Linked DNA regions of Macaca mulatta. The protein of the gene in region 6 interacts with the protein of the main gene of each other region in a pairwise test. Links are inferred from orthologs where the notes say so. Each region holds a gene or a part of one and is shown on either strand. Other genes may lie near its edges. The genes, in order: SYTL5, SUV39H2, ABT1, TSGA10IP, NKAPD1, CEP70 and ZNF302.

Region 1 (3,500 bases), on a different chromosome or scaffold from region 6:
GCAGGTAGAGTACCTCCTTTTTCATTAAACTAGTCTCATCAATGAACACAATGTGAAAAGGTACATCAATTGACCATTATTTCTCATTCCCCTTTAGTTAATGGCTTAGAACATTTTATAAAATAAATGTTTACAACAGAGCTCTCTTAGGTCATCAGTAGGGTAACCCTACATCCCAATTTTCCCAGGTCAATTCTAATCAACATCAATTGTTCTGATGTAGTTATTTAGGTCTCTTTGTTCTCAAAAATAAACTGATTTAGATGATAAATTATATAGTAATCATAGAAAGCCCTGTCAGTCCATCTTGAAATACTACTTGGTTAATACACAAGTTTGCTGCAATAACAGGACAACCCCCTTGCTCAAGCAACCATCCCCACAATGCCTTCTTGAGAGCATGTGGATTCCTAGGGTGAGCAACAGTTGGCCAGTATCATTTCTTCTAACTTTTCAAGTGATCTACCTTCTCAGTGGTCCCCTTTCTCTTCAAAGGATTTGAGAAAATCTAAAGTAACTTATAATTAGCAAATGGAGGACCCCAATCTCAATTGTCGTTTCAAATGAGCTTGTGCCATTTCTTTTATGGTATAAACCCTATAAACCTTTGCACAATTTGCTCGTTGACAGGACAGAGTAGTACACTTTCTATCATCCAATCAAGAAGGCCCTGATTGGAAGAAAATATATGTTTTTTAGGCACTCAACAAGACCCTAAATGTTCATACTACTGACATCTCTCCCTTCATGTCCCGATACTGTCAGATGAGAAATGGCAGGGAAGCAGAATCCCAGGTCTCAGTTTGCTACTGGTAGGAAAAGACAGCCAGATAGGCCCTGGTGGCCTCATTCTTGGAGAACTGGTCCCTCTAGAGTCTACACTTTCCCATGCTGGAACGAAGCATGAGTACACCCTCAAAAGGAGTTCCAGGGTTGTTGGCCATCTTCTGCCAAAGGCGCTGCTCTTCCCCCTGAGAGTCCATCCAATCCACGTTCTTCCCATGGCTCACACCTGAAGAAACGAAATGGGAACATTATATGTCACACATGAAATGTTTTTCTCTCCTGCAAGGCATCTATCAACTTCTGAGGGGGCCTTTTGACCAGAGTACCTTTTACTGGCTTGTTCTCACTTAGTATATATAGTGAGTGGTGTTAGAATTGAATCAATCATTTGCAGCCTGCACTATTCTCTAATGCCTAGGCCATATGAGGCAAATCAGGGTGGCCCTGGTGACTCACTTCCTCCCTACTTTAGCAGAGAGCTGGTTCATCTGGACTGTGCTAACATGACAGAAGAACGGGATGAATTTGACTCTCTTTTTCTAACAAGGACACTTTTCTGACCTGGGGAGTTTTCCTTTTAGTGGTATAGATATTCTTGGCTCCCCTTAATCTATAAATAAGTAATTATCATAGTGATAGGACCTTCCTCAACAGAAATATTTACCATGGTGTATGCAGATGGTCTCATCTATGTCTGGCTTAGGCTATGGGATAATGAGAGTTAGGGGGACTGCACGTGCTCTACTACTGTAATCCCTTTTCCAATTCACCCTGTTACAGTTGTGTCTTGTGGCACCAGTGGTGGGTTTCCTTGATCTGTTTTTAACAACATTGGTGTTATTTTTATGAAAAAATGATTTCTTTTCAATTCAACCAGTATGAATAATAGCTGCAAGTGCTGGACAGAACTGAGAAGATGATGAAGTAATGTTGGTCTTGAAAGTCGCTGTCCTCCTATCAGAAGGCTGTGCTGTCTTGGTAATCATCTTCTGAGCAAAATCTGAAGCAAGGTCCAAGAAAGTACTTAAAATTCACTTAGACTAAAGTGTAAATGTTAGTCTATGAAAGGACTGAATGTCAACATTATATCTTCCAATCTTCTAGCCTAAGGATACAAAGGTACTGTAGTTATATTTGTATTTTAACAATGAATAGATCCTTAGCTAAAGGAATGAAGCATTTGTGGTAATTTCAGGATTTAGCTGAAACTACGTATGTATATCCACTGCACATCACACCTGCAAGAATAGTGCCCCCAAACGGACCCAGTCACAGACCATCCCTGTGGGTCCCCAAATCCCTCACCACTTCCAGAATTCAAACGAACTCCTCCCAGAAAAATGTTGCTGGAAAAGGCCTCCTTGTCCCAGATGGTAAGTTCTAGGCAAACATTCTTTATATCCTGGGGATGGATGCCACTGAACATGAATGTATGATTCCACTGAGGGTTAACACTCTTTTTTATTACCAGAGTTTTGTGCTTGGTGGCTTTGCTATCATCAGGGAGCAGGTAGCTGCAGGAGGAAAAACAATCAAACCATCAGTAAGACAGCAGACAGAAAATGTCAATGTGCACGCAAGTGTGATGTGTCTATCTGATTTTTCTTCCCAGGCTTCTATATGCTTAAATCTGGATTTATATAGTGGAATGACTTTAATGCCCTCATTCTCCTTTCTAATCCTATTTTCGTACTTCCTTCCATCTTGAAAAGAAAATACCTCCTGCAATAGACACTATTGTATGCCCTGCTTCACATCTTTTTTTTTTTTTTTTTTTTGAGGCGGAGTCTCGCTCTGTCGCCCAGGCTGGAGTGCAGTGGCGCGATCTCGGCTCACTGCAAGCTCCGCCTCCCCGGTTCCCGCCATTCTCCTGCCTCTGCCTCCCGAGTAGCTGGGACTACAGGCGCCGCCACCACGCCCGGCTAATTTTTTTGTATTTTTAGTGGAGACGGGGTTTCATTGTGTTAGCCAGGATGGTCTCGATCTCCTGACCTCGTGATCCGCCCGTCTCGGCCTCCCAAAGTGCTGGGATTACAGGCTTGAGCCACCGCGCCCGGCCACCTGCTTCACATCTTTTTGGCCCTCCTTGGAGCTGACTTGCAGCAGGATGGGAAGTTCCTGATATGCTTTCAGCTTCCTACCTCAAGTGCTTGTGTCTTTTGACACAAGGAATAAATTCCTCTAATTAAGGAATTTATCTGATATTGTGTTAGCTGGCTCAGCTCATGTGCAGGAAACTCTGGGATTACTTGGAATTTAATGCCCCTGGGGCAACCTTTAACTGATGAGTTTGAGAAATTGGTGGATAATTCCCCAGCTTCCCTGTCCCTCGAAGTGACAATCCTAAGGTATATTCCACAGAGTTCCTCACTGCTTCCCCAATGGAATCAAGTTGCAGTTGCCCACAGTGGTAACCTGCCCATTAATATATGTTTTAATCAACTTCTCTTTCTTCCTTGTCTCATTTTCTCCACTTCCTCACTGGCGTTTCCTGAAATCTCTTCAAATAAAACACCTGTATCCTAGGTTTTCTCGACTATGGTCAAAACACTGTATGAGGCTCTAGGTATGTGATAAAAATGGCTGTTTTCCCCCTTCAGGGAGCATACTTTAGAAAAGAAGACATACGTACATATGGAATTAGTACATGGAACAAAAATGAAAAGTGCTACAAACAAATGACTTTACAATAAAGAAGATACATTCAGTCACTT
Region 2 (4,042 bases), on a different chromosome or scaffold from region 6:
TATATCAAGGTAGTGAGATGCTCATCGTAGAAAATGATTAAATATGTAAAAACGAGAAGTTAAAATCACTTCGAAAGGCTGTATTTCGTTATTTTCCTATACATTTTTTTCCTAGTTAAAACTATATTTCAGGGGGATTTGTTTTGTTTTTGCTTAACACTAAAAGCTTCATGAACATCTTTTTAAGACGGCTAGACAGTATTTCATAATGGAATCAAATAACCAGTCCTTTAATGGTCTGCGTTTAAGTCCTTAGTAGACATCAAATGGCTTTCTGCCAGTTTTCGTTATTTGCTCTAAGATTTCTGCTTTAGGTTGTTTAAAACAGTCATATGGATGCGGCGTCAAGAATGGCTGGGGGGAGGGGGTGGAGACCAGGTGGGAGGCCCCCGGAGTCGCCCTGCAGCCTCCTTACCAACAAGTCCTCTTCCTCCCGGCCCCCACCCGTCAGCAGGCCGAGCTCAGGAGCTTGTCAACAACACGGGAGGGGGGCTCGGGTCTCCTTACAGACCTACCCAGTCCCAATTTACATTAAAAGTTGAGCCCAGGAGGTCGAGACTGCAGTGAGCCGTAATCGCGCCACTGCACTTGAGCTTGGTGACAGAGTGAGACCCCATCTCTCAAAAAATTCCAAGTCCGCACCTCCCCCCCACGACGATTCGTAAACCCCTTTTAAGTGTGAGAAGCACTGATGGAGACTGGCGGTTTCAGCTGTGCCGCACATTAGGATCAGCTGGGAGCTGGGCAGCACAGGCCACACCCCACACCAACCAGTCGGAATCCCGGCGACTGCACCAAGCCAGCGGAACCTCTCCAGCCGTGCCCATGTGCGGCCGCTTCCGAGGCCCGGTGCTCTAGGGAAGTGGGGTCGGGGGGAGCCTAACCATGGCCCGCCGAGCTGCGGTGGCTGCGGAACCGGACCCGAAAGGCACCGTCCCTGGCCGACGTCCTCCCGAGTGAATGCGCCAAACGGGCCTGGCGCAGGGTATGGGCGCCGGACACCGCAGAGCATCCCAAAGCACGCGCGCGCGCTCGCTCCGCCCCGCTCGGCTCCTCGCTTTTGGGGCCGGGCCTACCCTTGGGGCGCAGGCGCGCTGACCGCCGCGGCGGGGGGTCGGCCGCCAGTGACGTCAGGACGCCGTGCGGGTTCCATCCCCCCTACAAGCCCCGGCCCCCAAGTCCCGCGCGGGCCGGCCAGGGGCGGGGCGTCGGGCCAGCTGAGCTATCCCGTCAGACCGCGCCAGTTTGAATGAAAGCTCCACAAGATGGCGGCGGTCGGGGCCGAGGCGCGAGGAGGTGAGGCTGGAGCGCGGCCCCCTCGCCCTCCCCGTTCCCAGGCAAGCTCCCAAGGCCCGGGCGGCGGGGCCGTCCCGCGGGCCAGCCAGACGGCGACGTGGCGGTTCCCCGGCCGCCGCGCCCCCGACTCCGGGACGCACGCTGCGGGCGCCTACCCTCCCCCAGGCCGCTGACCCGCCTCCCTGCCCGGCCGGCTCCCGCCGCGGAGGTGGGCACTGCGCGAGCCTGGGGCGCTTCGGCTGCGGAGCGTGGCCTCTCCGCCCGCTCGGCCCGGCCCCCTTGGCGTCTCCCGTGGTGGCTTCGGGGGTCGGGGCCGCTCCCCGGCGGTCCCCGGCTGGAGGTCCCGGGGGCCCGGCTGCGACTGGCTCCTTTGTGGTGGTTCGAGCGCGGCGTGCGGCATGCGCCCGGGCCTTTGAAGTGGGAGGCGGGAAGCGACGCCCGCCGGCGTGAACATGACCTTAATATCAGAGGGGGAGAGGAAATCGGGGCTCCTGTGTGCTAAGGGGATAACCGAGGAACCCCCCCCCCACAAGGCGGACACGCTAGGAGGTTGAGTGCCTCGTTGGAGAGTCGCCCAGAAAGTGGGTATTTGAGGTTGCAGCCTCTGGCTTACGGTAACTCTTCCACCCACCGGGAGCTTGGTGTTATTTCTGTGGACGCTGGGGAATTGGGCACCGAGCGTGCGTGGGTGTGGGCGTCGGGGGGTGTTGGTGTCGCGCACGCTTTGAGAGCCTGGAACTTTTCCGTGCGTTCTGGAATGTAAAGGTGTTTTCAAGCTCGCCTCCTCTCCACTTGGATTATGACCTCATTATCCCCGAGTTTTTCTTCCTTGGAGAATGTCAGGGGTTACTGTGAACTAAGCTAGCGGAAGGTGTTTGTGGTGGTCATGAACTATTTAATTTTGTCAGTGAAATATTTTTCTACATTACTGGAGACTTGAGAGATTGTCGTTTTGCTTTTTTTTAACCACGTGTTTGCAGTTTTTCATGTTCACTTTTTTTTTTCCTTTAAATTCTCGAAGAGCATTTCCTTTGCGGGTTGTGTTTTGAATCCTCAACTAGATAAAAATGTTTAGGAAAAGCACACAAACACACCTTGGGTAGATACTCAAGAGGAACCACCTTTATACGTGATCCCCTTAGTGAGGTCAGCTTAACACAAAACGTCCTCTAGTTTTTTTAGATGGAAGGGACTTACGGGGTCATTTCTCTCCTATCACTGTCCTACCCCCAAACGACCACTCCAAAGCAATCGGCCTCTTCCCCCACGTTTTCTGGAGGAAAATACCTTTCTCTTTACTGCTTTAGGATGGAGTCGTTTGCAGCCAGTGAGATGGTGGAAATTATGCTTAAGGGTTTCTGACAATGAAGTAGTCTCTGTGTGAGGTGGGGAGGATGAGGAAAGGGTGCAGGAAAAGTTATTGCTGCTAACAAGTGTTCTCCCTTTCCTGAAATTACCTCAAAACATAAAAGGTGATCGCAACTACCTTGGAGAGCTACCAAGTAAAGCTTGAGTTTACTGATAGATTTTGTTTGGTAACACCAGTTTTCTCCATTTTTTTCCAGTGAATGTGACAGCCAGACAGATTGAGACCTCACTAAAGTCACATAGCTCGGTGGCTGAGCGATGGGTAGGGCAGAGGACTTTTGATCCTGTCTAGTGCTTACCATGACACTAGCGCTAACACCAAGTTTGTTCCATTTTCCTAAACGTGTTTGTTAATTTACACTTTAAATTCAGTGTGGTAACATGCTACTTACAGAAATTTGAGGGTCAAATCTTCTGGAACACAATTAGTTTCTGGCTTCTGGAGGGTTGATGATAAGTATGTCTAATTTTCTTTGAGTTTAGTACATGGCTTATGTAAATTGAACACCGTTTTAAAAGTTTGGCTTTAAAAACAATACAGTCAATAAGTATTACAAAATATCAATATACTCTCCATTTTTTTAATAACTCGAGTTTATTCACCTTGGTGATAATATATTGCAGTATGGGTAAAATAATAAGTGGAATTAAAGCTTCATGCAACATTTCAAAGAGAAAACTAACATATGAGTTTGTAACGTAGAAATATATTTTTATTAGATTTCAGTTTTGTCCAGTTAAAAAAAAATGAGTTATGTGTTAACGAATTATAATGTTGTTTTAAAGTATATTTTAGATGTGTTTTTAAGAATAAGTGTCCTAGAGATTTACATTTTATTAAAATAGTGATTATAGTCTATGTAGAATACAATGAAAGTAAGAAACACTACCTCTGTTGACCTGCATCTGCATATAATTTTTAAAAAGCTTACAGACATGAAACATTTTCGAGTGACTTAATGGAAATCAACTGATGTCAGTTAAACATAGTGGAGTAGAAATCCATGAGAAAATCCAAGAACACCAATTTAACGAAATAGTTCCTTAATGTTTAACTTTTTCTTGAAGACGCATAATTGGTTTCTTGTCATAGGAATTTTTAGTCTAAAATTGCCAGTTGAAAGTTGGGGAATAGAGGGTTTTTCTCTTTTTTATTTTAATTGAATAGCTATTTCATTAGTAAAGAATTCTATTTTCTTATTGTAGCTTGGTGTGTGCCTTGCCTAGTTTCACTTGATACTCTTCAGGAATTATGTAGAAAAGAAAAGCTCACATGTAAATCGATTGGAATCACCAAAAGGAATCTAAACAATTATGAGGTGGAATACTTGTGTGACTACAAGGTAGTAAAGGTAAGGCAAATGTCTAGCCCCTTACA
Region 3 (3,814 bases), on a different chromosome or scaffold from region 6:
ACTCAACACTCCACCCAGGAAGCATTGTTTGCAATTGTGGGAGCACTCCAGACTCTTTCAAACTTCTTCTTTATTATTCTTACAGTTATTTTGTAGGAATGACCTGGAAAACTTGGTGAGGACTGACTCACCACTGAAGACTGTGATCATCAATCACGTCCCCCTTGAGAGGGGCTCTATGACATGCTGTGGCCCCCATTCCACCCCGTATATGCATCTACCACGATGCCTATCTTATACTAGTGGCCTGTAAAACTCTTAATACTAAGATGTGTTATTACCTATTGTCATTGTTTCCTCAAACAATGGCTTAGAAAATGCTGACTTAAGATAACTAATTGATAAACTGGGCTAAGATAATAGAAATTAAATAAAAAAAAAATCCAGGTTAAACAGTAAGGTGGGTGGCGGGGGCGGGGGGGCTCTAAGATCAGGAGATGAAGGTGAACACAAGGAGATGAAAGCTGGAACTTGTCCAATGACCCTCCCCAACAAAAATAAAAAGGCATAAAAAATATTTTTATTTTCTATAAATACATTAGGAAATGTATTTCTTCCCAACTCAGTCCACGCCATTAACTGTCAATTTTTTCTACATAAAAAAGATGCTAATACCACCCTCACCTGTGACTGCTAAACAGAGAAAGATTGCCGGGATTATTGCAGGCATTATCCCCCTAGTTGGAAATAAAGGCCCGTTCCTGGGGGCAGAACGTGGGATTTTTAGGGGACCCTATAGACGTAGGCAGCCAAGAGTCAAACAAAACAAGCATATGCAATAGTCATAATCATGCTAGTATGACAGTATGAACTAGGTGACTCAGCCAGGCATATACAGGAGTTCGGAGTGAGGATAGTGGAAGCCCTCAAAACTTGCACGTTTGGGCCCTTAGCAGAGACACCTGGTCTGAGAAACACAGTAAAATGTTTGCCTGGATAGTCACGATCATTCTAGTATGAGGTAGACAGGAAGCAGAGCAGGGCTAGGAGCTGGAAGGGGCCACCCTGGCCCTCAGGAGTCCCTGACAAGGGAAGGTCCCTCCATGCTCTCTGAGGGTGGTGGGGCTCCAAAGATCCTGGCCAGGAGCCCTTTGTTGGAGCGGGCCTTGTCCTGGGCAGTCGCCAGGCGAGCCCGTTCACGACCCCCTGGCCGTGCTGCTTTCCGGGCCCTCAGTTCCTGCTCAGTAGGACGTTGCGCAAATGTCCAGGAGCCATCTGGGCGAGCAGGGTCCCCATCGGCCGCAAGAAAGCGTTGTCCCCGTTCCACACTTTGAAGATAGAAGTCGGTCTCACGCTTGGCCTGAGCAACCTCCGCTCTCAGGCGCTGCCTGCGCACCTGGCGCTCAAAGGCAAGGTGCTCACTGAGGTGGGACCAGGTGAAACGGTGCAAGTACTGTGGGCAGAAAATAAGAAAAGATCAGGATAGTGCAGATTAGGGAGAAAGATGAGACAGGGGACAAGACCAATGAGAAGCCATGGGTATACCTGGGCCAGAGCTGGGGAGAAGGGAGGGTGAGAGGTGTGGCAGAAAGATCTATCTCCTCACCTTGAGGTTCCAAAGATCATAACGGAAGGGGCTGCGCCTGCGGGCACCCATAGGCGTGTTGTGTAGACTGGCCGCCACGCGCTTGGCTATGCGCTTGTCACGGAACTCCACCCATCCCTCGGTGTAGTCCTTGCTGTAGGACCGCTTTTTTCCTCCCGCAGCTGCTGCTGCTTTCTTCTTGCGTCTCACGAACCGATCTGAGCGCCAAAGACAAAAAGACCCGTCAGGGACTATGCAGCACTCACTCAAAACCACTTCCCATTGCCCGCATCGTTCTTCACATCTGCCAGCGGGAGTTCCACCTGAGAGTTTTTGCCCAGGAGGGAGGGAACTGTAAATTGCACCCTTTCCTCTAGCTAACTCAATTATTTCCTTAATTGTCCACTCCTTAATCTGGCCGGCTTTGAACGCTATTTAACACCCGCGCAAGTCCCCAACCTCAATGTAAAATTGACGGTGGAAAGAGGAAGGGCGGTTGATCAGTTTCTTGACCTAGGCCGCGATGCTAAAGGGGTATGTTCAGTTTTGTAGAAAAGCTAACGAGGCTTTTACTCTGTTGTACTCATGTAACAAACCAGTAAACAGATCCGGAAAGAGAGGTGAGCAGGGCCGGGATAAAAACACGAATAGTAACAATCCGAGAACTAAAGAACCACCAGACGCACTGCGCTACCCACTCTCCCCATATCCCCTCCGCCCACCCACCCCAGCATCCTCACAGACTGATTCACCAGCCAGGAGCCGAGCACCGCACTCCCCACCCCCAAAATCCAACAACTCGTGCCTCAGTCTTGCGCAGCGAAGCAACAGGACATCCATGCTTGCACCCCGCCAGCGAGCGACAACCTCCTCCTTTCACCGTCAGGGTCTGCATACTTACCCTCAGCCTGAAAGAAGACGCGTCCGACCTCGCCATAGGCGCTGAGAAGGTTACGGACGTGCAGAGGACGGAAGCGCGGCGGGATATGGCCCAGGTACACAATACCTGGCACTACCCGCTTATTGCGGCCACAGGCCGCTGCTTCGGATTCCTCCTGCTCCTCCTCCGCGTCTAGTGTCTGTTCTGTCCCTTTCAGCGGCTCGTGCTCCGTTGCGGCCTTCTCCGATTCCTCTGCCTCCATGTTGACTGACATGAGCGGCACGACGGCCGTAAAGTGCCTTGCCTACTGACGCAAAACGTGTGCGACGGCCTGAGACGAGGGGGCGGGGCCAAGGCGGTGATGACAAATGAAAGGATATGATTGGCGATGCAGTCGGGTCAAGGGGAAGGCCGAGGGGAGAGGGCGGAAGTGGGGTGTCAGGTGGAAAGCCAGATTTAGAGCGTGGAAGCGGGATAGGAAGCTTGTTTTAGGTTCACAGATTCCCTGTTACATCTCCAACTCAGGACAGGCAGAACCAGAAAAGGCAGATCCCCAGATACAACCTACCCTATAGAACGCCGCTAAAGGCGGGTTGATGCCGGGTTTTTAGGGAATTTTGTAGAGCAGTTTTAGGGAAGTTTCTGTGTGTTCTAGCGATCAAAATAGCATTTTATTCGAGGGCCCTGGTTGCGATTCCAGCTGAGGAATGACTCACCTTTTAAAGTTTATACATTTCATTTAAAAGATTTGAGTTTTGAAGTTTTAATTATTTCTGGAAATTTACCTTGGAATTTTGAATATTTTAAAATTTAATTTTGAAAACGGTTAATTTTGGAAATTAGATTTAATTTTTGAAAATTTAAATTGCGAACTTTCAGTTTAATATTTTACATTTGATTTTGTGAATGTCTGAAAATTTAAATGTGTGACAATTATTTGAATAATTTGTTTGGCATCTATTACACATGTGTATTGATACATTATCCATATGCATACTTACGTTGCAAATACTTGTCAGAGGCGCACACGCCTCCAATTCTGGCGACCCCCCCGGCGGTGCGCTTAGTTCTGCCCTCCCTGGGTCTGTCCTCACAGATTCCCCATCAGATCACAAACCAATTTTCCTTCTATGACCTACGTAACCACAGAACGGACAAGGCCCCGGCGGTCCTGCTCCTACCAGGCGACCTGCGAACCATCCCTAAGCCAAGCCCATAGCCGTTTTCCCCGCGCGGGCTCGAGTCCTCAATCTCTTACCGTCGCCCGAGGGCGCGACCAGCAGGGGGCGCCGTCCCCACCCTTAAGGCGTTTCAGTTCTTGCGATCCGCGCCAGCGACAAGCTGACTGCAAAGGATATTGCTGGGAACCGAGTACAAATAATCCGATTAGCTTTCTGGAAGCAGCCCGG
Region 4 (2,838 bases), on a different chromosome or scaffold from region 6:
CAGTGCGCACAATCCCAATCGGTCCTGAAACCCCTCCCCTCACCCAAGGGTTGCTCAGTCTGTGGCTCCCTGCCTTGCACAACTCAACATGTGTTAGGATGTGAGCGTGTGTTGGGATATGAGTATGTGTTAGGATATAAGCGTGTGTTGGGATGTGAGCGTGGGTTGGGATATGTATGCACCCGTTTAAGGGCCCACGCCCTCTCCCACTCACTGGGCATCCTCAGAGGCAGGAGTCATTCCGTCTTATTGACGCTTGAATTTATAGGACCCAACATATACATTGAAGATGGGGTGGAGAAGTTACAGCTCTTGCTCTTTGAGATGTCCCCACTCCTCAGGAGCAGAGAAGGGGCTGTGTGTGCTGGGTGGAGGGAACCAAAAGAGCCAGAGCTCCTGGAGGGGAGGGAGTGCGGGGACAGAGCTGCCCGCCCACCTGCCACCTCCCACTTCCAACCCGTAGCCTCCACCACCCCCACCAGCAGAAATCCCACACTGTGTTTACCATAAAGCCTTTAATTTTATCTCAGAAACTGCACTCCGGGTCCAGGCTGGGCTTGTAGTGCCTGTCAGGCTGGCTGCCGGTGGGTTCTGTCCTTGGGGGCCTCTGAGGAGAGTGCTCCATTCTCACCCCCATTGACCTGTGGCTCCTTCAAGACACAGATAGAGGCCCCTGGCTCTGCAGTTCTCACCCCCATGCCCAAGGAAACCACTGACAATGTGGCTTCAAACCCTGCTCCTGTACTGGCTTGCTGTGTGATCCTGAGCAAAGTGACTCTTCTCGAGTCTCACTTTCCTTATTGCCAAGTGGGCCTCATAATCCCTGCTCTGTACCAGGTTATTCTAAGACATGGGGTGACCAGCGTGGTGGTGCCAGCCCCTAATGAGAGCTTGGTGTGTGGCTGCTCATGTGGTTGCAGAGTCCCAGACTGGCTCTGCTGCTTGTTCGCTCCTGTGTCCTTAAACATGGCCCTGCCCCTCAGGTCCTTAGTTTCCTCGTTGAGAAGTAGGAATGACAACCCTGGCCTTGCCTTCCTCGGGCTCTCTGCCAGTCCTGGGGGAGGCCCTCCAGAGCCCAGAGTGCTGGTGTGGGCGCCCTTCCCACAGCAGCATGGCAGGGCCAGTTCTTGACCTGCTGGGGAGACTCACCTGGGTTTCCTGGGGGTGCCTTCTCTGTCCACCTTTCCTGCCTCGGACAGCAGCTGCTCTTCATCCAGCCCCAGTGCTGACAGCACCTGGGAGAAGCGCCGAGTGACAGTGAGCCGGGCATTGGCCTGAGGAGAGAGAAGAGGGCTTCTCGCTCTGCACCAGGGCTGCCAAGGGCGAGGTGGGGCTCTGCTTACTGAGGGAGTCCCAGGGATTCCAGAGGGCAGCAGCCCTGGGATCCTATCTGCAGGGACCTACTCGCATCCTGCTTCCCTGACCCACTCAGCCAGTTCTTCACAGGGGGCAGCCTCACCTGCATGGCCTGCTGGAACAGGAAGGGCCGGGCCTGCACCCTGTGCTGGATGCCTTGCAGCTCCGCTTGGTACTCAGCAAAGCGTTGTCGCTCCTGGCGCCTGCAGGGGAGACAGGCCTTTGTGCAGCTAACCATGGACACAACTGTTGATCTCCACTCCTGAGCCGGCTCATCTTCACTAAAGATTTGATATTCACGTCCTCACCCTCACCTTTACAAAGCTATTTCATTCCCATTCTGGCCTGGATTGCTTGTGAAGTCAGCCAGGGTGGAAATTATTCACCCAGTTTACTGATGGCTCAGGAGGGTTGAGGGACTTGTTCAAAGTTGTGCAGCTAGGAAGTGAGGGGCCGAGCCCTGTGTAGCTGGGGCTTGCCAATCTTCCTGTGCCACCCCCACGGGAAAGGGACCAGTGCTAGCTTCTGAGCTTCCAGACACCTGCTTACATAGCCTTCCCTCCCCATCCTCTTCCCCTTGAGGGGGAGCTGTGGTTGTTGGTTGTGTGACTTTGGGCGAGGCCTCTCTCTGGGCTCTTGGCTCTGGGCTCAGTTTATTTCACTGTGCTATATAGCAGGGATCGGACAAGCTTGCCAGCATTCTCTCTGGTTCTTATAAGCAGACAGCTTGGAAAATGGGACAGAGAAACTAAAAAATATATATATATTTCAAATTTAAAAAACACACCCTGGAGAGATCAGGGTTCCACTGGGGAAGCACAGTTTTCATTTCTAAAAACCCAGCATGGCCAGGCGTGGCAGCTCGCACCTGCCATGCCAGCGCTTTGGAAGGCCAAAGAGGGTGGATCACTTGAGCCCAAGAGTTTGAGACCAGCCTGGGCAACATGGTGAAATCCTGTCTCTACAAAAATCAGCCAGGCGTGGTGGTGTGCCCCTGTAGTCCTAGCTAGTTGGGAGGCCAAGGTGGGAGGATCGCTTGAGCCTGGGAGGTCTAGGCTACAGAGAGCTGAGATTGTGCCACCGCACTCCAGCCTGGGCAACAGAGCGGAGACCCTGTCTCAAAAAACCCAAAACCCAGTTTGTGCACTTGTCATAAATGTGTCTGCTTGACAGACTTGAGTGTCACTGCCACTCCTGAAGAGAGCACCCTAGCAGCAAGAAGGGCCTTTGGGCCACAGCCCACATGGGACCAGGCATCCATCTGTGAAGCACATTAAGAGAGGCCTTGAGGTGTGGAGGCAGCACCCATGGACAGGAAGGGAGGGGAGACACAGACAAGACCCCAAGACCTGTGCTGGGACCTCAGCGAGTGTGCTGGGCCCTGTGGAAAAACACAGCCTTGCTGGGCCATGCCCCTTGGCCCTGTGCCAGCCAGGGAGGGAACCCTCCTCCATTGAGAAAAAGACACGGATTTGAAAACCC
Region 5 (4,224 bases), on a different chromosome or scaffold from region 6:
TTACCTTTCCTATCATAATTGTCCCCTTTTTTGTTCTTTAACCCAATTAACAGAATCATCATCACCCACCCAGTCACATAGGTGGTTACACAGTTGACCTTGAACAACAGGGATCTCAACTGTGCAGGTCCACTTATCCTCAGATTTGCTTCCACCTCTGCCACCTGTGAGATAGCAAAACAAGCCCCTCTTCTTCCTCCTCAGCCTACTCAATGTGATTTTCTTAATAAAATGTTCTTTTCTCTAGCTACTTTACTATAAGAATACAGTATATAATACATGTAACATAAAAAATATGTGTTAATCCACTGTTTATGGTATTGCTATGGCTTTCAGTCAGTAGCAGGCTATTGGCACTTAAGTTTTGAGGGAGTAAAAAGTTATACATGGATTTTCGACTATTCAGGGGGTTGATGCCCCTAACCCCTGCATTGTTCAAGGGTCAACTGAATTAGATTCCATTCTTATCATTATCATCTAATTAGCCACCAAGTTCTTTGGACTCTATCTCCTAAATTCCTCTTCTTTATCCCTGCTGTCACTAATTTCACGCGAACCCTCATCACCTCTCACCTGTAATACTGCAATTGCCTCCTAATTAATCTCCCTACTGTTTCTCCCCATCTGATTCATTCCCCACCCATCTGACAAACCATCTTTCTAAAATATAACTATGATCATGTCACATCCTGTTTAAAAACATTTGATGGCTTCTTTACTGCCTAGAGGAAAAAGTCTCAGTTCCAAACATCACAATCCAACTCTAATGACCACTGAGGCCTTATCTTCTGCGCCTATCCCTTCATTCCCCGCTTTCTGGAAAATTTCTTGCCATGCCCTGAGTGATTAATGCTCTTTTTTGTTGCCATATTAATGCATGATGCTCTCTATCCAGAATGATCTTTCATACCTAGTAAGCTTATACTTATTCAAGAACCAGTTTAAATGTCAGCAGCTCAAATACCACTAATTCTGTAAAATCTTTTCTAATTCCCCGGGGTAGATTTTATTATTTCCTCCTTAGTGCTCCAAAGCGCTTTGCAAATATCTCTGTTATACAGTACATATCAAACTGTATTATAATTATCTATTGTATTCATCATTTTATTTCCTACTTTGTACAAAAGCTTTCAAAGACTAGATGACAAGAATATTCTTTGTATCTCCCAGTTGTGCCAAAATAATGCTTGGCACACTGCTTACTTTCAGTAAGCACTGAGGAGTAACTAGGTTGTACCTCCCACCTTATTGTGAGCATCTGTGTGCCGGATGACATTCCTCAGGAGAACTTTCCCCAGTGGAATCCGGGACATTCTTCAATCTGAAATGAATCAACAAATAACGTTTAGTAATAATTTATTTTATTACTTTATCTTTTCTTAAATTTTATAAAGAAGCATGAGGTAAAGGAAAGATCACTGAACTAGAAGTCAGAGATCCTAAATAATAGTTTTCCCTTTACCATTAAAAGAGGGAAATGCCTAAACACACTAATGTGAGATGAAAGGAGATAATGTACATTAAAGTTCTTTGAAAATGCACAAGACTGCATAAAATTAAGTGCTTTCATGAGCACCATTTTATTTAATCCTCATAACTATTTTTTATATGAGGCAAATATCTCCATCCCTATTTTGTAGATGAAGTTCCCTTAAACTTGTCATGCCCCAAGCCACATAGTCCCAGGCAAATGATGTATATCAATGTCTAGATTAAAAATCAAACCTCCAATCCCAATATTAGTTTGCAGTGAAGCAAATACGTAGATTTGAGAGTATCAGGAACCACAGGTGTCAACAGTAACAGAAACTGATGACTCAAAACATCAAATGCAAAGATGTCCTAAACTTCTCCATTTGGGAGCATTTTATTTCCTACTTGGTACGGAAGCTTCCAAAAACTAGATGACAAGAATATTTTCTTGTGTAGCTAGCACGGGCTTTGTGCAACCACCCCAACGCTCACTCACCCCTTGATCCTGAGGAAATCAGGCATCTTGTTAGTGAGACGAAGAACCACTCCATTACAAGATCTCCTCCGACCCAGGAAGCCAAGGAGTCAGGGCTCAAAGGCAGCTCTGCAGCTTCACCCGAGTCCTTCGTGAAAACGCAGCCTTCCCACTGGTTAATCTGCCCTCACCTGTGGCCCAGGCCACTGCCGCCTTTCCCCCAGCCCAGATCGACAGGCAGATCTCTCTCGCGGACTGAGGCCGGAGACTGAGCCGGCGCGGAATTCGGACAGCCCGGTTGACCCGGGCATTCCCCCCTCACGCTCCTCTGGGACGAACCCCGGGGGTAAGTTTCACTCCCCAGAAAGGATGGGAACGCTTTGGATGGCTATGGCCTTCGGTTGGGCCCCAGGAAGTATCTAGGGAGCCTGAAGCGGGGGTTGAGGTTTCCAAGTGGAAGACAGAGGAAATATCCCCATCTTTGTCACCGGGATCCCTGTCCCCCAGCGGCCTCGGAGCTCCCGGTAACCTCCCCTCCAAACGCCCTCCCCACACAAATACACACAAACACACCCATACCGTGCGCCGCTGCCTCGCGTGGCGGGGGGTAGGGGGGAAGAAGCGGTTTGGGAGAAAAAGGAAGAGACTTCCTTCTCAGGCCGGAAGTGGTGCTCCTGAGAAATAGTCCCACCAACAGGCAGCCCAGAGACTCCCAGAAGGGAGGGTTTTCAGGACACTCCAGAGGTTGACGGGTGCAGAAGGGAGGCGGGCGCTTTCCTGGAAGAGAAGTGGATCGGGCCCAACTGAAAAGCAAGCCTGGTACCAGAAGGGGGACATTCCGGAACTAGATATGAGGAGACTTTTCAGCCTGAAACTCCCCGGACCCAATTAGATGTTGTACCCAGGCTGGTTACCCTGGTAACAGGCGTCGCGGTTTGTCAAGGAGCTGAGAGAAGAGGTGGGTTTGCCAGCCTATAGAATGACTACCCGTTAGAACAGAGAAGAGGTGGGTTTGCAGACCTATGGAATGATTACCCGTTAGTTAAGCTTCCCATTTAGCGTAACCCTTACACAGTAGTTGAAGAATCTAAACCTTTTTGCCTCATTCTAAAGATGCTGTTTGCAGACCTATGGAATGATTACCCGTTAGTTAAGCTTCCCATTTAGCGTAACCCTTACACAGTAGTTGAAGAATCTAAACCTTTTTGCCTCATTCTAAAGATGCTGTGGGACACCTCTCCAATGGGAGAAGAGGCTAAGGAGAGTTATCTGAAGACGTAGAGAAGTGTCCCAGCCTCTCTATTAGCTTCCTTAATCCTCGCAATAACCCTATGATAATATAGGTATTATCGTCTTCATTTTGAACAGAGTAAGAGGAATATATATATATATATGTATATGTATGTGTATGTGTGTATATATATATATATACACACACACACACATTAATTGCTCAAGGTCATACAGCTAGTGAGAGATAGAACTAAGACCGGAATCTAGGCATTCTGGCTCGCAAGTCCATGCTTTGAATTACTAAACTATAATGAGGATTAAGGAAGTCTCATGTGGCCCTCACCCCATACACACCTCTGGCAATTTCAGAACTGGGGAGCCACCAGTCAGTGAGGTGTTGGAACAAGAAGATCAGGAAACCCAGATTTAAAATGATTGCTCTGACTTGTCAGGGTCCAAGTAGAAGTAAAGTCTTATCTGAGAGGACAATGTGAGAATTTAGGAAGAGGTACTAGATAATTAAAGAATAACGAAAACATAAAGTGGTGCTGCTGATCCACAATCTTTTAGACACAAATGCTAAGTCCTAACTTCACCAAAACAATTCCTGGCCCATTCCGCCTCCCCAAAGCAGAAATGAATCAACAATTACACAGGGCCGGGCGTGGTGGCTCAAGCCTGTAATCCCAGCACTTTGGGAGGCCGAGACGGGCGGATCACAAGGTCAGGAGATCCAGACCATCCTGGCTAACACGGGGAAACCCCGTCTCTACTGAAAAATACAAAAAACTAGCCGGGCGAGGTGGTGGGCGCCTGTAGTCCCAGCTACTTGGGAGGCTGAGGCAGGAGAATGGCATAAACCCGGGAGGCGGAGCTTGCAGTGAGCTGAGATCCGGCCACTGCACTCCAGCCTGGGCGGCAGAGCGGGACTCCGTCTCAAAAAAAAAAAAAAAAAAAAAAAAAAATTACACAGACAGTTTTCTTCCCAAAGTCATGTCTTTCCACAGGCTTAAGAAAATTATTCACCACTCATCAGTCATGGA
Region 6 (3,500 bases):
GCTATTCCAAGGCTGGGCACGGTAGCTCACACCTGTAATCCCAGCACTTTGGGAGGCCAAGGCAGGTGGATCACTTGAGCCCAGGAGTTTGAGACTGGTCTGGGCAACATGGTGCAACCTTGTCTCTCTCTCTCTATACACACACACACACACACACACACACAAATTAGCTGGGCGTGGTGGTGTGTGCCTATAGTCACATACACACAGAAAAGATGCTATTCCAAACAGGGAAGGTAAATAAGTTTTAAAAGTCTTTAATTTCACCCCTCCATGAATTCTGGATAATATTTATTTTTATTTTTATTGTTTAGAGACAGGGTCTCACTGCATTGCTCAGACTGGACTTAAACTCCTGGGCTCAAGTGATCCTCCCACATCAGCCTCCCAAGTCGCTGGGACTACAGGCGTGTGCCACCACGCCCGGCCATTCTGGATGATACTTTGTAAACTTTTAAAACAAATACCTCTGGAGGTCTTCAGGTCCTAATACCTGCATAATCTGCTCATTCACATCTTCATTAATCAGCCTACAGAGTTTTCCAACAGTGCTTACCAGCACACACAATGAAGATGAACTATCTGCAAAAGAGAAATAAAAGGCTATTTTAACAGAGAATTTTCAAAATTACATACATCAAACATTTTATGCTTCAGTTATCCTCAATTTTTTTCACTTAAAAATTTTTTTATCGGCCAGGTGCGGTGGCTCACGCCTGTAATCCCAGCACTTTGCGAGGCTGAGATGGGTGGATCACCTGAGGTCGGGAGTTCAAGACCAGCCTGACCAACACGGAGAAACCCCGTCTCTACTAAAAATACAAAATTAGCCAGGCATGGTGGCATGTGCCTGTAATCCTAGCTACTCGGGAGGCTGAGGCAGGAGAATCGCTTGAACCCGGGAGGCGGAGGTTGCGGTGAGCCGAGATTATGCCATTGCACTCCAGCCTGGGCAAAAAGAGTGAAACTCCGTATCAAAAAAAAAAAAAAAAAAAAAAAAAAAAAATTATCTACTTTTTGTTAATTTACTAAAAATTCTTAAATGGGGGCCAAAAATGACAAACTAGGTCATCACCTAATTCTAAGAGTTCTTGGAGGTTTCTCACAGCATTGTTCATTTCTCCAAGCCTAGTATAAACTTCATTCATTCGGGGATAGACTCCATTTAAAGAAGGCACATCAAATAACTTTTGGAAGTGAGAGACAATAGCTTGCAAAGTTTGAAAGTTTGGCATATTGCTGTCCTGTCCAAAAGAGAGGTAAAAAATAAAGAGTTCATATCTTAAAATAATCCCAAATAAAAACTTTTAAAAGACAAACAGAACTCTAGTAGAACAAATATTAATATCCACATCAAATTATCAATTTTTGAGATAAGAGAACATTAGAATGTGACCATTTATGTAAGTATTACCTTTTCCTTATTTTCAACTTCTTCCAACATAGTATCTACTATAAACAACAAATCTTCAACTTTGATACCTTCATTTTCATCCTGCTTCTTCAAATTATGCCAAGGTACCAGTTCTGCAGATAGTGTTTTCAAGGACTTATACAAATCCTTTATAACAAAAGAAACTATATGGTATTATTGATTTAAATAATTTCAATAGTAACATAATAGAACATAACAAAATTATAAGTTTTATATATGTTTTATAAAATTAATAAAAAATTACACAGGTTAAATTATATATATATAACCATCAGTATTGTTTAATAAAAACACTATTACCAATTTAGAACAAGTCAGTTAAAATTAGGTTTCTCCAGGTAAACACAGGCTTTACAGAAAACATTATACACTGATTATTCTGAATCTGGGTGCTCTAAGTAATTTTATGTTATTTATTATTGTTCCATATTATTTCATTATTTTGAATTATTGATACACAAAGAATAAACTTGCCTTTGTATTTTGGTTTTGAGTATGTTATATAACAGCTTTATTGAGATGTAATTCATATACCATAAAATTTACCCTCATTAAGTATACAATTCAGTAGTTTTAATATTTTCACACATGTACAAACATCAGCACTATCTAATTTCAGAACATATCCATTACTCCAAAAAGAAATCTCAGACCCAGTCACAGTCCCTCCTTCCCCATTTTCCCTTCCCTGCAGTTCCTAGGGTTGATCTCTAAACTACATTATATTTCTAAGGATTTGCCTATTCTGGGCATTTTGCATAAATGGAATTATACAATAAGTAGTCTTTGATGAATGGCTTCTCTCACTTAGCATAATGTTTTTGAGATTTATCCATGTTATAACATGTATCTCTAGGCAAGTTTTCAATGTGAAAGGTTCCCCAAATTTATTCTACATTATAATACTCAGTTTTCTTGGCCTAGTTGTGGTGCCCTAATTGATTTTAAACTGTGCACAATGGGCAAGGCTACTGAAAGTTTAGAGCTCTAAACTGATCAACTGACAAATATTTACTGAACATCTACTACAGGTTGAGAATCCCTAATCTAAAAATCTGAAATGCTCTAAAATCTGAAACTTTGAGCAACAACATGACACTCAAAAGAAATGCTCATTCGAGCGTTTTGAATTTCGGATTTTTGGATCAGGGATGCTCAAATGGCATATATTCTGCAAATACTCCAAAGTCTGAAAAAATTCTTAAAACACTTCTAGGCCCAAGCATTGTGGATAAGGGATACTCAATCCATATGTGTATGGCACAGTGCTTGGTCCTTCAGAACAATGCTGTTCAAAAGAAATGTAATGTGAGCCACAGGAATTTTAAGTTGTCTAGGGCCATAGTATGGAAAGTGAAAAGAAACATGTGATATTAACTGTAATAGTATATTTTATTTAACCCAATATATCCAAAATATTATCATTTCAATATAAAAGCAATATTTTAATTTTTTCCATACAAAGTCTTTTAAATCCAGTGTATATTTTACACTTATAACGCATCTCAATCAGGACTAGCCACCTTTCAAGTGATCAATAACCACATGCAGCTAGAGGCTACCATACTAGATAGCATAGCTCTAGAGAACAGAAAGAAGTACAAGAAGTTCCTTCTTTTTCTAACTTATTTTAGTACTTCACTTGGCATTCTCCACTTAAGGCTCAGACTTCACATATTGGTATCTTTAACCTTTCAATTGGTAGGAAGGCAGTTACTATTATAGTAATTCATAGCAATAAATTTCATGTTAAATGAATGTTTTACCATCAGTGCCACTAGAATTTGAAAAAAAAAAAAAGTCAGCAAATAACAGCATAATGATATCTTTATTAACCAATGCTCCAGCAACAAGGCACATTTATAAAGTAATCTATGGTAAAAAGCACACCCAATCTAATACATTTTTGCTTCAGAATAAAAGAGTATTACAAAGCTAAGAAGAAAAGATGTTCTGGTCTCCTAAGCAGTGACAGGATGGTTGTAGCACAGTCTATCAAGTAAGCTCTGAAAAATATAAGAGTCTCCTAGGTTCTTTACATTGCCCAGTTGTGGAGATGTAGAAG
Region 7 (2,893 bases), on a different chromosome or scaffold from region 6:
TGACAGGCTGTAACTTCAATTCAGAAGAGTGAAGGCAGTGGCACCTAGTCCATGGGACGCTGTACTCACAGATGCTGCTGAAGACCTGTAGTGTTCTGGTCTCAGTGGGTAAAACCTCCCCTTTCCTCCATGTGGAAGCCTGATGCCTCCTTCACTCAGCCCATTTCCCAACTCTGTAGGGCACCCTCCTTCCTTCTCACAGACTTGTTGAATTCTCATCTTATCTCCTACCTGGTCTCTTTGTTTCTCCTCAGGTTATTTTAGGCAAGAAACATTCCCTCAAAATGGCTCAGATACTAAAGGATTTGTTGGAAGGAAACGGGGGTGTTTTGTAAGAGCTCTCCCCCAAAAATGTGAAACAGTAAACAGATAAGAGCAACAAGTGATTAGATGTGACATCTGAGACCAGAATGATGAAGCAACCATGAGGATATGATGAAGATAAAATCAATAGCTAATACTTATTGAACGCTATTGAGAGGCCATTGTTGTAAACATTGTGCATCAATTAACTCATTTAATTTTCACAATGCTGTGAAATAGCTTTATTACCATTTTACAGATGGAGAAACTGAGGCATGACACAGTGAAGAAGTTGGTCCAAGGTCACACAAAGCCAGTATACATGCAACTTGGATTTAAACCCAGGTAACAAGACTCCAAAGCTTAACGCTCTTCACACACACACACACACACACACACACACACACACACACACCTCGGAGCTCTTAAAGAGTATGAAGTGCTTATCTATTAGGTCCACAGAAGATACTCAAGGAATGGTTAATAGGTATGACTGAGAAAATAATATGTTGTCAGTGACATCATAACATTATAATTATATTCTGGACAGTGTTAGTGGCCCCTAAGAATGTGTGAAAAATGCAAATTCAAATCAACTCATACAAGAATTCTAGGATTGAGGCTTAGCAATCTGTGCTTTAACAAGTCCTTCCAGTGATTTTGACACACCACTACAGCTCAGAACTACTAGATTCCTATATCCCATCCCTGTGTAATACACATGAGTGATGCTCAGTAAATTTTGAAATGTATTTAATTAAGCCTACTGGAAATGGACTCTGAATAATCCTCACCAAAATACTGCTATTCTTAGTATAAAGAGCAGGCCATTTTTCTCGAAGTTTGCTAGTCTCCCACTAAAGACTATACTAAGGCTAATCTTAGTGAATTTTTTTTGCCAGAAACAGTCACAGAGAAAGACTTCATGATATACAAAATGATCTTATTAGATACCAAACTTTTATTAACACCATTTTATTTCTTTTGCAGCTTTAATTTTTAACATTATAATATTTACTGGCTCCTCTGGGTGACTAAATATCTTCACATGCCCACTAGCTAAAAAGAATTTCTAAGTAGAACCCAACTGAAACTGCAAGCTACTGCTCTAAGAAAGGCATACTTAATTATGTTTATTTGCTCTCCTATAGAATCCTGTTTACAAATAGCACCACTGCAGATTTACATGTAATTTCTAAATCCTTCAGGTTGCTCTACCATTCATCTTCTGATGTCTAGCAAGATAAACACTCTTAGTGAACACTTTGCTACATCTCTTATATGATGAGATTTCTCTCCAGTTTATTTCCTGTAGAATAAGGAATGCACTTGGAACTGAAGAATTCCTTCAATTTCTAAATTTTCCACATTCATACAACTTTTTTCCTGTAGGAGTTTGTACGAGATTCCTATCGCCTATAGTCTTTCCCACATTTGCTACATGTACACAGTTTTTTCCTAGTGTGAGTATACTTATGTCAATTAAGGGATTAATACTGACAAAGGCTTTCCCACATTTATTGACTTCATATGATTTCTCTACAGTATAAACTCTGATAAATAAAAATGTCTGCATCATTGCTAAAAGTCTCCCATATTCACCACATTCATACAACTTTTCCCCAGTATAAATTTTTTCTGATGTTAAATAAGGGAGGATCTATGAAGTTTACCATGATAAACACTGCTTCAAATAGTTTCTCTTCTGTAAGATTTCTCACATGTACAGTGATTCATATGATCTAAAGGCTTTTCCACACTTACCATATTACTGGGTTTCTCTCCATTATGTACTCTTTGATGGGCAGTAAGATTTGAGCCTTTGCTAAAAGCTTTTCCACACTCATTACATTTATATGGCTTTTCTCCAGTATGAATTCTGATGTATAAACTCTGTATGAACTGATTATAGTGAAATTTATTGATGCAGTTCAATAAGGTTTGAACTACAGCTGAAGGTCTTCCTACATTTAATACATTCATAAGGTTTCTCTCCAGTATGAATTCTGTGATGTTGAAGCAGGGATGACCTATGACTGAAGGTTTTCCCACATATACTGCATTCATAGGGTTTCAATCTAATGTGATTTCTCAAATGCATATTCAGTGATTCAAGCTGGTTGAAGGATTTCCTGCATTTCTAAACTTCAAAAGGATTTTCTTCAGTATGAATACTCTGATGTTGAACAAGAAATGACAGGCTACTAAAGACTTTGAGACATTTGTTGCATTCAAACTTTTTCTTTATACTGTGAATTCTTTGATGTTGAGTAAGGTGTGAGCTACAGCAGAAAGCTTTCCCACATTCTCTACATTCATAAGGTTTCTCTCCAGTATGGCTTTTCTGATGATGAATGAGAGATGAACTATGAATGAAGGCCTTTCCACATATACGACACTCATAGCGTTTTTCTTGCGTATGAATTCTTAGATGCTGAATGAGAAGGGACACACGACTAAAAGACTTTCCACAGTTCATACATTCGTATGGTTTCTCTCCAGTGTGAGTGCTCTGATGGTTAGTAAGTGATGAGCCATGGCTAAAGGCCTTCCCACATTCAACACATTTGTAAGGTTTCTCTCCACTATG

What was found.
Region 1: the proteins of CEP70 (region 6) and SYTL5 interact in binary tests that used the Homo sapiens proteins (3 or more experiments, as listed by UniProt). The two-hybrid records come from large-scale screens. The link is inferred for Macaca mulatta from reciprocal best matches to the Homo sapiens genes CEP70 and SYTL5.
Region 2: the proteins of CEP70 (region 6) and SUV39H2 interact in a two-hybrid assay, tested with the Homo sapiens proteins (2 studies listed by BioGRID and IntAct). The link is inferred for Macaca mulatta from reciprocal best matches to the Homo sapiens genes CEP70 and SUV39H2.
Region 3: the proteins of CEP70 (region 6) and ABT1 interact in a two-hybrid assay, tested with the Homo sapiens proteins (2 studies listed by BioGRID and IntAct). The two-hybrid records come from large-scale screens. The link is inferred for Macaca mulatta from reciprocal best matches to the Homo sapiens genes CEP70 and ABT1.
Region 4: the proteins of CEP70 (region 6) and TSGA10IP interact in binary tests that used the Homo sapiens proteins (3 or more experiments, as listed by UniProt). The two-hybrid records come from large-scale screens. The link is inferred for Macaca mulatta from reciprocal best matches to the Homo sapiens genes CEP70 and TSGA10IP.
Region 5: the proteins of CEP70 (region 6) and NKAPD1 interact in binary tests that used the Homo sapiens proteins (3 or more experiments, as listed by UniProt). The two-hybrid records come from large-scale screens. The link is inferred for Macaca mulatta from reciprocal best matches to the Homo sapiens genes CEP70 and NKAPD1.
Region 7: the proteins of CEP70 (region 6) and ZNF302 interact in binary tests that used the Homo sapiens proteins (3 or more experiments, as listed by UniProt). The two-hybrid records come from large-scale screens. The link is inferred for Macaca mulatta from reciprocal best matches to the Homo sapiens genes CEP70 and ZNF302.

Annotation. Positions count from the first base shown.
Region 1 is NC_133426.1:37,962,794-37,966,293, reverse strand, and holds part of SYTL5 (synaptotagmin-like protein 5), read right to left. Parts: intron 2,301-3,500; coding exon 2,092-2,300; intron 1,013-2,091; coding exon 870-1,012; 3' UTR 1-869. UniProt on the Homo sapiens protein: May act as Rab effector protein and play a role in vesicle trafficking. Binds phospholipids.
Region 2 is NC_133414.1:16,433,201-16,437,242, forward strand, and holds the start of SUV39H2 (histone-lysine N-methyltransferase SUV39H2), read left to right. Parts: upstream 1-1,242; 5' UTR 1,243-1,265; coding exon 1,266-1,296; exon of another isoform or gene 1,297-1,877; intron 1,878-3,870; coding exon 3,871-4,016; intron 4,017-4,042. UniProt on the Homo sapiens protein: Histone methyltransferase that specifically trimethylates 'Lys-9' of histone H3 using monomethylated H3 'Lys-9' as substrate.
Region 3 is NC_133409.1:156,468,554-156,472,367, forward strand, and holds ABT1 (activator of basal transcription 1), read right to left. Parts: upstream 2,675-3,814; 5' UTR 2,668-2,674; coding exon 2,427-2,667; intron 1,744-2,426; coding exon 1,547-1,743; intron 1,394-1,546; coding exon 1,013-1,393; 3' UTR 501-1,012; downstream 1-500.
Region 4 is NC_133419.1:8,459,784-8,462,621, forward strand, and holds the end of TSGA10IP (testis-specific protein 10-interacting protein), read right to left. Parts: intron 1,560-2,838; coding exon 1,460-1,559; intron 1,314-1,459; coding exon 1,150-1,313; intron 651-1,149; coding exon 527-650; 3' UTR 501-526; downstream 1-500.
Region 5 is NC_133419.1:112,827,625-112,831,848, reverse strand, and holds the start of NKAPD1 (uncharacterized protein NKAPD1), read right to left. Parts: upstream 2,801-4,224; 5' UTR 2,528-2,800; exon of another isoform or gene 1,970-2,527; intron 1,322-1,969; 5' UTR 1,314-1,321; coding exon 1,245-1,313; intron 1-1,244. Other genes in the region: PIH1D2 (PIH1 domain-containing protein 2), read left to right, coding at 4,220-4,224.
Region 6 is NC_133407.1:41,502,804-41,506,303, forward strand, and holds part of CEP70 (centrosomal protein of 70 kDa), read right to left. Parts: intron 1,562-3,500; coding exon 1,415-1,561; intron 1,245-1,414; coding exon 1,076-1,244; intron 583-1,075; coding exon 468-582; intron 1-467.
Region 7 is NC_133424.1:45,961,454-45,964,346, reverse strand, and holds the end of ZNF302 (zinc finger protein 302), read right to left. Parts: coding exon 2,444-2,893; 3' UTR 501-2,443; downstream 1-500. UniProt on the Homo sapiens protein: May be involved in transcriptional regulation.